Drosophila melanogaster: one gene and its partner. The main gene of each other region encodes a partner of the protein of the gene in region 2 in a complex. Each region holds a gene or a part of one and is shown on either strand. Other genes may lie near its edges.

Region 1 (6,005 bases), on a different chromosome or scaffold from region 2:
TTTTTAATTGTTAAGGAAACTGCCGTACGCAATACAAATAAAATTAGGAATAAATAGTTGTTTAAGCTCCTTACTCACTGATATAGTGCAGCAGCTCTTTTGGGAACCCCGGGGCTGCAACCGCAAGCTAGCGGACTGGAAACTTGTGCCATCAATATAAAGCTGCTGCAAAGTTTTCACCTAAAACTGACAAAGTGCTCAGCGCAGCCACCCACAGACACTCGCCCTTCTCAAAGTTTTCCGGGCAACCCACTGCAATGGGCTCCCGGCGCCGAAATCTATGCAATCAGAAGCAGCTGCAAAATCGGCGGGTCCCGAGGAGACGGATACGTCCGGATTTAGAGCGGGGGCAGCAAATTATGTCCGAACTGCGTCTCTTTTGGGTACTCGGCTCTGCGGCAAGGTCGCGGCTTGTTCATTAAGGTAAACTGGCCTTTGATGTAACAGCTTTTCAGAGGATAAAAGCCGCTTTCCATGCAGTGTTCCCGTCATTGGAACACTGTTAATTAACCGATTGCGAAAGGGGCTTACACTTTTTGCGGCCTACTCAGAAAATGTTATGCACAAGTGGCCAGCGCTTTGGTACTTCGCCGTGCATCCCCCAAACAAATTCATCCCACTTCTCTCAGAATTGCAAATCCCCCGGCCCGGTGGAAAGCTACTTCAAAAGCCGCTCTTAAGCACCCTGAATTATGCGAAACTTTTCTTTGACACACAAAAGAAATTAAAGAAGTGCACCAAAAAACTAAAATCAAGAAGGCGCATTCTGCGACACATTCTGTAAATCCCAGCAACTCGACACGGCAACAGCGAGGGTGCAATCCTCGGTGAACTCGGTGGCATTCCGAACCACCACTCTCGCCTCGACATGAGTGCACAAACTGTTTTGCTTATATTCGTGCGATTCCCAGCATACAGCTACTGGTGCCGGGATGTTATTGCATAAAAAGTAGTTCGAAGCAGTTGGGAAAATATTTGAAAATGCCTGGGAGATTGAAAACCACAGAGGCTGTTCTGGTGGGGAATGCTCGACTTATCGATTTTAGGAGCAGATGCCAAAGACTCTCGCTTACAATACATTTTTGAGGGCGGTTATCCGCACTCTTACTCTTATTTTTACAACTTAATTAACATTCGTAGAACTGCTATGAAAGAAAGAGCAAAGAACTAAAATACAAGTTAAAGCACATGATGTTGTCTAAATATCCTCAGAGGTAACAAAACTTAACTTGAGGGAATACTTATTATTATTACTTATTATTATTATATCTGAAATAAATTTAGGTACTATTAATGTAAACCAAACACTGAGCAAAGCCGAAACAATCAAGAGCTGTCCCACTAATGGAACGAGCCGAAATGAATTTCTGGCGAATTTGAATTCTAGAAGGCATTTAATTACCATATCCCCAACCCAGCGTCCTGGTAGACAAATGATGCTCTAATGGGATGACCTGGAATCGCGACGAGAGAACCACTCAACCTGCCCGCCGGCTAATGGAGGCCCCGCTCCGTTGCCAACTACATTAAATTGCGATGTCAGATTACGGCGCCTAATAGAACGCAATGATTTCGCATTCCGCCAGACATCTGGCACTTGGCCTCCTGCCACCCGCAATGATGCTCTAATGATGGCTATCATAACATAAATCTTCGCTGGGGCGGGGGAATTTATTTGTCTGTTCATTGCCTGGATTTGGAAAGCAATTAGGAAGGGCAGGTGAGACGATGTTGCGAGGAGCAGATGGCGTTGAGTTGTCACTTTATTTGCTTACATAATGGACGTCCAAGAGTCCATTAAAAACTTCTGCACGCTATTTGCTTATCCAGCGCTAATGTTCTGGTACGTATGTTTAGATTGTTTCATACGTCGAGTGGGCACTTGTCGGGAGCCGCTGAAAACCGAACAGGACTAACCAAAAATCCGCCTGAAAGGCTCGTTTTCCAGCCCCATATAGCACAGCCTCTGTTTGTTTTCATTCCGGTCCATAGATCACAGGCCAAAGCTCAAAAATCAACAGCACCAACAAGTTTAGCACCACATTCGAGGGCCCTAAGTATGCTTACACGGACGATGTTTCCGAGTGCGATATTTGGGCCCCGGCTTCTGGGTGTTGCGTTTGATTTAAGGCTTTCAGCAGACATACAATGCAGACTGGGTCCTCGGTCCGGAACTACAAGTGCAAATTGTGTAAATATGCAGCTGTGCCGGCGCACAGTGATGGATTTCAAGTTTCTATGCAACAGTGGGCAAATTATGCACATCATCTACCAACAATCGTCTCCTATATGCGAGTCATAGCAACAGCTAATTGCCTGTTAGTTTCAAATGCACAATTTAGGCTACAAGTCTCTATTAGGATTCTAAGAATTGTATGCACTGATTGTAATCGTATCAAATTACTCCTATTTAGGTACATACAAAACTACTAATGGTCAGCATCTTGACAAAAGATTTTCCCACAGTTGGAAATATTTACGATTTGTGATTCCTCACCTTACGCTTGGAGCAAACTTTTTATGTGGCAATTACGTAGCGAAGTTTGATTGTAGGCGGCCACCACTGAGGCGTGAGCTCAAAAAGGAAATCATCGAGGCAAAAGTGTTCATCCAGCTGACGACGTCGGCAACAGTAAAAACTGTTTCCCCGCGGGGATGAGTTGGGCAGAATCAACTGGTGGGGCGCCATAACGAGTGGCTTAATGAATCTTGCCGAGCATAATCCTCGTTTCTTCGCCCAATTGTTTTCGTTTGCCAGGATGCGCCAGCTGTCCCGGCTAATCAAGTGCACTGCCCAAAGGCGGTGGCCGGGGTGTGGTGGTCTGGAATGGGAGGCGCTAGACGGCAGCACAACTTTATGAATCTACTGCTTTCACAGCTGCTGGGCCGCCGGCGCAGGTGTACAGCTGCTGAAAAATGCTAATTGAACGAGGAGGCGCCCTTTCCATGGTGAGAAGTAGTCAAAAATTAGCATTTGATTTAATAATGCAAGCTGAGGAGCGAGGCAGGGTCGAGATTTGTCAGCTTGGCACTGAATTGGCTGGACTTTCAGCTGAAAAATGAATACGTTTTTAACCCAAAAGGAAAAGGAGGAAAGCTTTTTTTGTTGAATGCCCTAGTAACCGTGAAATCGATTTCATGCGAAAAGGGACTTTTTTTTTTGACTTTTGAGAGGTGGAAACAACTGTTTTATATGAGTTTTGCGCAAATAAAAGTAATGCAACATTGTATAGACTACATCGGGGCTGTAAAGTTGAAACCTAGTTGAATCTATCCACCTAGGCGAACTCACCCGCGTAGATGGCCTCTATGATGATATCCTCCAAGTGGCGGACGTTGTCGATCTCCAGTTCGCTGAGCAGCAGGGCATAGGGAATGCTCTTTGCTTTAATGGCCAGCGAGACGATAGTCAGGTGCTGCAGCTTCTTCTGCATGGCAGGAGTCAGCTCGATGAACTTTTCCGGCTGTGCACGGTATTCCTTGTATGTGCCGTATGCGAATAGGTTCAGGGTCTCGAAGTGCTTGGAGTCCGGACCGTCTTTAAGCTATGTGTGGTTTTGTGGTTGGTAAGTTACTGCCAGAATGTGTTTCATTGATGGACGCACCTGCAAAACGGATGGCTCCGCCAGTAATTCGCCAAAAACAAAGACATTCGGGGCTTCCAGGGCCTGGCGAATCACATCCAGCAAAGCGGCGCCGGTGGATGACTTGGCCAGGACACAGAACTTCTCCAGGAACGTCTCCTTGCTCTTGCTCGGCTCCTCGTTGCCCAGCAGCATGTCCTGCGTCATTTTGATAACTTCAAGTTGGATAATTTGTTTTTAAATTTTGGGATTGTTTTGATTTTTGCAAGCACAGTGCCAGTGTGACCGTTCATCGATGGCCAAATTATATCGACCGAAGTTTATCGAAGTTTCAATTCATTCTATCTTATTAGTGTAATGAGTTCTAACTATTTCTTACTACGCACATGACAGGACATACTTACGATTTAATTATTGTATATCTAGCCATAAAAACAAATTACAGTTTTTATAAAAATATTATTTGTGTTGCCCTATAATAAAATTAGTTTAAATTACAGTGCAGAGTAAATATACTAAATTTGGTACGGTAAACAGAATTAAGGTCACACTATTATGTCTCTTGCACAAGCTGACTGCCATAAAAGTGGGCGCCAAGCTTAAACAATCTGAAGTTGGTCAGGCCCTGTGTGAAAAAGTAAATTAAAAACTTAAGATTTATGCAACCTTAGCCACAGATACTAACCCGTTCATTATGCTTATGATTATTTTATGTTCTTTGGGGATACCTCCTCGTTCGCTACATTGTTTTTTTCTAATAACAGCCTAGCATTTGCACTCACCTCTTGGAAATGTTGGTCATTATGTTAAAGCAGGGCATCCCCATTTTAAAACACTTTTCGCTCCACATTCCATCCGGCGGCACACACAGACGCACCCTAGGGGGCTGTATAAAAAAAGGAGAGAAGAGGGCGGAAACGGCAGGCTGGGCCTAAAAAAATATATTCCTTGAGCTACTTTGGACTGCCAAAACTTTGCGCCAGCCACACTTGCTATTATTGCTGTGGGTAGGGGCGGATATGCGAATACGAGTATAAAAAGGCTAGGGTCAAAGTTGAAAACCCTTTATTGTGTCTGGGGGGTTGACTTCGGCATGGAAGTGGGAGTGAGCGTGATTGGGACCGCCATTCCCTGTATGAGATGCGCCAGCTCATCGATTATGAAAAGTTAACTAAAGGTCAGGGACCCACGGGGATACACACACTCACACACAGGATCTCACAGGAAAAAGGTGAGCCCGAGCCTTAAAGATACTGCGTCTGTTTTAAAATTGCCCACAGCACAGTGTTCAATTTTACAGCATATTTTCCACTTGTATCGCTTTGTTTTCCATACCTCTTGTAATGCCGACACTTCGACAGAAATTGACCGGACTGTTTTGTAATTTTTCCAATTGGATTGGCACGCCTACCGACCACTCTACCCACTCTACCCACCATCCTTCCAAATTTTATGGGATTTTGCCAAATTTGCCAGTACGCAGCCATTACAAAATTGGTTGTGATTTTGATTCTGTTGCGTGCGTTCGGCTGCAGATTCGCTTTTGGCTTCCATCCGGAGCGGCGGATGTGGTTCTTCTCCTGCGGCGACTGCTATCCGAATTGCATCCGGGATTAGTTTGCGTTTGAAACATTTTTGGAATAATGCGAAATCCCGCTGCCTTTACTTCGTTCGCAATTTTGCGGGTTGCGTGCGCAAAGTTGCGCCCATCGAGGATATTCGCTCGCCAACCGACGAAAGCCTGTGGCCATTCTTGCGATGGACCACTAGTGGTCAGCAGGTGGGGATTGGAAATTACTTAGAAGATTGGGCAGAGCGAAAAAAACGTTTTTGGTTTGCAACAGAAGAACACTAAGCTGAAATTAAATGGTAACGTTCAGGTTTCCCATGTTTCGGTATTAATCTATGAACAAATGGAAGTAACGAATACCAACTGAGAAATGGAACATATTATAAAAAAGATATAACATTTTAGGTTTTAAGTTAGTCCAGATGTTTTTGGTGGCATGACCATATACATATATGGTCTCTGGCTGGAATTTCCGCATAGGGTAAGCTATAGTAGACTTTCCGCCTTGCCGCTGATTCTCGCAGTTTTGAAAAGCTCTTTGTCACGGCGGCAAACTTTACCCGCTCTGCTCCGTGTTCTGGTTTTTTGTGGATTTCACTTTGTCATTAATTTGACGCACAATGAGTCGGCAGTTGGCAGGTTGTTCGGGTGTTCAGTTTCCCGGGATTTCAATCCTATTTCCGAGATTACCGAACGAGGGCGTTCAATTTCATTTGCGGGCAAAGCAAGGACGTCATTTGCCCAATTCATGTACTCCATCGTCGGTTCAGCTGGGACCGAGCTTTAAAATTAATTACACTTTTTGCCTTCTGAATCCATCATCGGCTTGCACATTAAAATCATTGGCGGGG
Region 2 (5,005 bases):
TTAGCGAGCTTAGCTGAAAGGATACATCATCGTCTACTTCCCCAGTTATGAGAGCTGTAACCGCTTCGATTGCCAATGCTGCGCCACTCTGATCGTTTCCTTGGGTAGTATCATGCAGTATAGTGAACGTGCGGCTCAGCTCGTCCTTTGAATCGTCCGGTTCTTCCGGAGTGGAGCTCTTGATCTGGGACACATCGATTTTTTTTTGACATGGAGATGACGGTTTAGATGATCCAGGCTTAGGGGAGCCACTTTTCGGCGAGTTAAGCGAACGACGTGCCTTGGCTACGAGCTTGTTGCTCTTGTCAACGCCGGGACTACGCTTGGCAGCCGCAAACGATTTTCTGAGCTGGGAGACCTTGTTCTCTCTGGGAGACTCCATTAGGGATATACGCTTGCGTGGCGAGGTCTTGGGTGCGTTTCCTCTCGTATGTCCTTCTCGCTGGACTGGCGTACGACGATGTGGATGGAATGGCAAACGCCGAGGCGTAGTCAGGCAGTGGCGACGAGCCTCCAGAAGAGATGTCCGCTTGGGGGTGGCTATGGGGGTGGTCTTATCTGGTTGGTTGGAGGCGATCTGCTTTTTAATGCTGGTAAGCAACGCTCGTTTCATCAGTGACTGGGGCGTTCTATTGGGTGTGGTGATTCCAGCCGGACGCTTAGGAGTTTTATACCGTTGCGAAGGGCTTGCTGATGGCGGGGTGTCAGAGTTAGTTATGTCTATGACTAATGGGGATGCATCTGATGATTCGTCGGTGCTGTCTACACTGATAGGCGTCTGTTTGGGTGTGAGCTTGAATCCAAGCGTCTGTTTGGGTGTTTGTCGTAGCTTTGATGGGGTGGTCAGGTCGATCAGGAACATGGACGAATCCCGCTTGGTTTTTTTTGAGGTGGATGGCGTGCTAAAGTCCATTAGATCTCGGCTGCAGCTGTCTTCGTTTAGTTCAGAGAGCACATTGCCCTTGGGGGTGCTGTATACGCTCTTGGGCGTGGAAACAGCCAAAGACGTCGTGGTGTAGCCAGGTTTTCGAACACATGAAAAGGATTTCTCGATCTTCACGCCAGTCTCGCGCGGCGAATAAGAGGTAATAACCACGTCGGAGATGGCGCACAGCCTTAGTAGCTTTTGGTGGCTACCTGGTGGCGTTGCGGTATTCTCCTTATTCTGCGTAGCCTCCAGAAGATTTACTTTGGGGGACTCGTAAGCTGTCTCCTCTGTGCTGCGCTGAATTGATTCATTCAGTGAGACATCCTCCAAGTGAGACTCACTCTGATCACGAGACTCTATAGAAGTATTTCCTTCGTCGTCCGAATTGATGCTGTAGTGAAAACTGAAAAGGTATAAGCAGAGATAAGGTTTTATGAGGACTATTAACAGGCAGACAACACATGCTTGCAGTAGGGACTTTTTCCTATTGTTGTTGCCCAAAGACATTTTAGGGGTTGGCCAGGTAGTCGGTTAGGGGTCTGCCTGCTGTTTTCACTTACTTGTGAACTGTCAGGCGTTTTTCGGCTTGTAGACGATGCGATTGCTAAATCAAATAAAAATGGGGAAATTGTAGGACTTGGAATACTGTACTATCTGGAACAGATGGCGGCTATTACCTTCAATGAAGGGCAGGAGTTTGAGGCCTGTTCGTTGGGCAATAGGCGTTCTGGGGTGCATGGGGCATCCTGCACCTCGGAGGTCTTGGGGAACTCCCACGTGTAGACCTTGTCTCGAATGGTAATCTTGCCACCGTGTAGCAAAGGACGCTTGCCTGCAGCGTGGATGGCCACGTCGTTGAGATGAATGGGGTCTCCGCTGGACTTGTTGTATATGATGACCTAAGGGCGGAAGAAGCAGTATGTTAGGGCGGTTAAGGGGGATTCCTGCCATCCAGACTCACCCTGCCGAAGGCATCGCAGTTTATTTCGCAAATTAGACGCTCCTCCTCTGGCCCCTCCAGGATGAGGTCGCAATTGTAGTAGGAGCCCACCTGGAAGGTGCGCCCTTTGGCTGCCAGAACCACGGTTTTACCATTTTCGTCTTCGTAGCGCAACCTACCGCCATCCAGCGACATTTTCCAAGCGGCGTCGCAAATGCGGCTTGGGTGCGGGGAAAACGAATACCGAAGCGAGCACTTTGAAAAGCCGCAAAGCTATTGGGAATAATACGGTAAATGCACGTACACAAAACACCCACAAACTATTCACTGATTTCTTTCACACTTTTCCACCAGACACTGTTTTTACGGCCCACATCACGAGCTTGCCAAAGTTAATTGTAGCGAAAACTCTGTGCAGGAATTTTTTTGCAATGGACGCGCAAGCCCTGCCAACCTGCTTTTAATGCGCCGGCTTATGCGTTACATTTAAAATTCGGGGTGCAGGAACTGACAACTTACTTGAATTAAAAGTGGTTTATATTATGTGATTATTAATAATGGTTAATCTCAAGAAGTGAAAAGAAAGATACAGATTACAGATACTGCGATGAATCATTTTGTCACTATGAAATAAGGTTTTAAGTTTTTTTTAGTCAAAAATGCTGCAAATTAGAGTGCGTATCGTAAACAGAAAAATTAAATTAAAAAACTTTCCTTGGTAAAAAATTAACGATTAAAAATACATTTTATTTATTAAACAAATAAATTGTTAATATAGATAAATTTTAAATTTTTTAATCAATATTTTAATTTCTTAACTTATAATAATCGATTTATAAAAAATATCGATTGTACCTTCATGAAATTGATTGTACAGATGGTACCGACAAGTTCATCTCTAGAATTGAGCCGGAAAACAAAAACTTGCAACAAAAGACTACAATTTTCGGCATAAGTACAATCACAATGGACTCCGACGCCGCACAAAAGACCTGGGAGCTGGAGAACAACATCCAGACGTTGCCCAGTTGTGACGAGATCTTTCGCTACGACGCCGAACAGCAGCGGCAGATCATCGATGCGAAGCCCTGGGAGAAAGATCCCCACTTCTTTAAGGACATTAAGATCTCGGCTCTGGCGCTCCTAAAGATGGTGATGCACGCTCGCTCTGGCGGTACTTTGGAGGTGATGGGTCTAATGCTTGGCAAGGTAGAGGACAACACAATGGTGAGTTATTGAATGTAAAAAAGGTCCTCAATTTATAAGTCATTCCCGTGCAGATTGTCATGGATGCATTTGCACTGCCAGTGGAGGGCACTGAAACCCGCGTCAATGCCCAGGCACAAGCGTACGAGTACATGACCGCCTACATGGAAGCGGCCAAAGAGGTGGGACGCATGGAACACGCCGTGGGCTGGTATCACAGCCATCCCGGTTACGGTTGCTGGTTGTCCGGCATCGATGTGTCCACCCAGATGCTCAACCAGACATACCAGGAGCCATTCGTGGCCATTGTGGTTGATCCGGTGCGCACTGTTTCCGCTGGCAAGGTGTGTCTGGGTGCATTCCGCACGTATCCAAAAGGTTATAAGCCACCAAACGAGGAGCCCTCGGAGTATCAGACCATCCCGCTGAATAAGATCGAAGACTTTGGAGTCCACTGCAAGCAGTACTATCCCTTGGAAATTAGCTACTTCAAGTCTGCTCTGGACCGCAGGCTCCTCGACTCTCTGTGGAACAAATACTGGGTAAACACACTGGGCAGCTCGGGTCTGCTCACCAACACAGAGTACACCACCGGTCAGATCATGGATCTCTCCGAGAAGCTGGAGCAGAGTGAGAACTTTTTAGGTCGCGGTACATAATGGGTCGATTTAGGAATTGTGCAAATAATTTACCCGCTTTATTATCCACAGGAACCGATGTCAATGAGAAGCGTTCGGAGGATAAGCTGTCCAAGGCCACCCGAGACTGCAGCCGCTCCACCATTGAACTGATACACGGCTTGATGGCTCAGATTGTTAAGGACAAACTTTTCAACAAGGTCGGACTGGGCAAATAGTTCAACACTAAAATTCGCAATGAATTTTAAAATGCATTGTGAATTTTCTTTTCATTTCCCTGGGAAATATTTAAGTAAGTCAAGCTTATCCAAAAGAAAAAGGAAATTATAAAACCGCCTCATAGGCTGATGAAAAAAATCTCAAACGCTTTTACTTTTAAAATGGGTTCTTTTTTGTAGAGAAACTGTTTTCGTTATTTATGTATTAGACGACGGAAGGCATAGTAAAAGTTGAAACTTTTATTCGCCTGGACGAAAAACAGCCGATCCACCATTTATTATATTCTTTCAGATAAACAAACCTTTTTATTGTTAAATAAAAAACGCTTCTGCATTTGACATTTATAGAATATAAAATAATTGGACATGGCGATAAAACATTGTCGAAAATGTGATGCTTGGGTAAATCAATTGGTCTAGAATTATGTAACCCGAGCCGGTCTCAAAGCAACAACTGAAGCCCACCGACTGAAACATTCCCTAATTGCTTCGGGATTTTTAAAGTAAATATTACACAGCCTGGTTAGCTATACAAGCCAAGCCGCGAATGCGTCCCTCTCATCAATCAAATGGTTTCATTATTTTCATCGTTTGGTTTATTTTACAACTTGTATTCCCCGATTGCGTGTTTGCCGATGGGCTCTAGGGTTTCCCTGACAGACCCGTAGTCTACTGTCTGCTCCTGGGAGCGAGAGCTACAAGTGAGATGTCAACGCCCTTCCAGCACGTGGCCCAATCAATTTGAAGGGACAGGAAGGGGGCCGCTTGCGAAGGGCGCTAATTAAATACGCTGTCACGTTTATGGCCGCTGTGAAGTATCAAAAAAAAAAAAGGGGGGAGGGGGCGCCAAGGCAAATACAAGTCCTGTTTAACCGTTATCATCACTCCTGCAAGGAATGCCCATTAAAATGTCAACATTTGTGTGCTTGTGCAGGATTTATTCTGTGGAATTTTTAAATCCTCTTAAATGTAAATGTAAATTGTGGCGCATAACAAGTCCAAAAATGCCACATCAAAAAGGGAGATAAACAAAATAACAAGAAATATTAACGCACTTGGAGTAAGCAAACGAGAA

What was found.
Region 1: CSN5 (region 2) and CSN7 share a complex: the UniProt entries of both Drosophila melanogaster proteins name them as parts of the CSN complex.

What each region holds. Positions count from the first base shown.
Region 1 is NT_033778.4:8,418,897-8,424,901, reverse strand, and holds the start of CSN7 (COP9 signalosome subunit 7), read right to left. Parts: upstream 3,870-6,005; 5' UTR 3,792-3,869; coding exon 3,606-3,791; intron 3,546-3,605; coding exon 3,293-3,545; intron 1-3,292. UniProt on the Drosophila melanogaster protein: Component of the COP9 signalosome complex (CSN), a complex involved in various cellular and developmental processes.
Region 2 is NT_033777.3:16,467,345-16,472,349, forward strand, and holds CSN5 (COP9 signalosome subunit 5), read left to right. Parts: upstream 1-2,754; 5' UTR 2,755-2,834; coding exon 2,835-3,095; intron 3,096-3,148; coding exon 3,149-3,725; intron 3,726-3,784; coding exon 3,785-3,930; 3' UTR 3,931-4,062; downstream 4,063-5,005. Other genes in the region: CG42232 (uncharacterized protein), read right to left, coding at 1-1,331, 1,489-1,532, 1,606-1,827, 1,890-2,063. UniProt on the Drosophila melanogaster protein: Probable protease subunit of the COP9 signalosome complex (CSN), a complex involved in various cellular and developmental processes.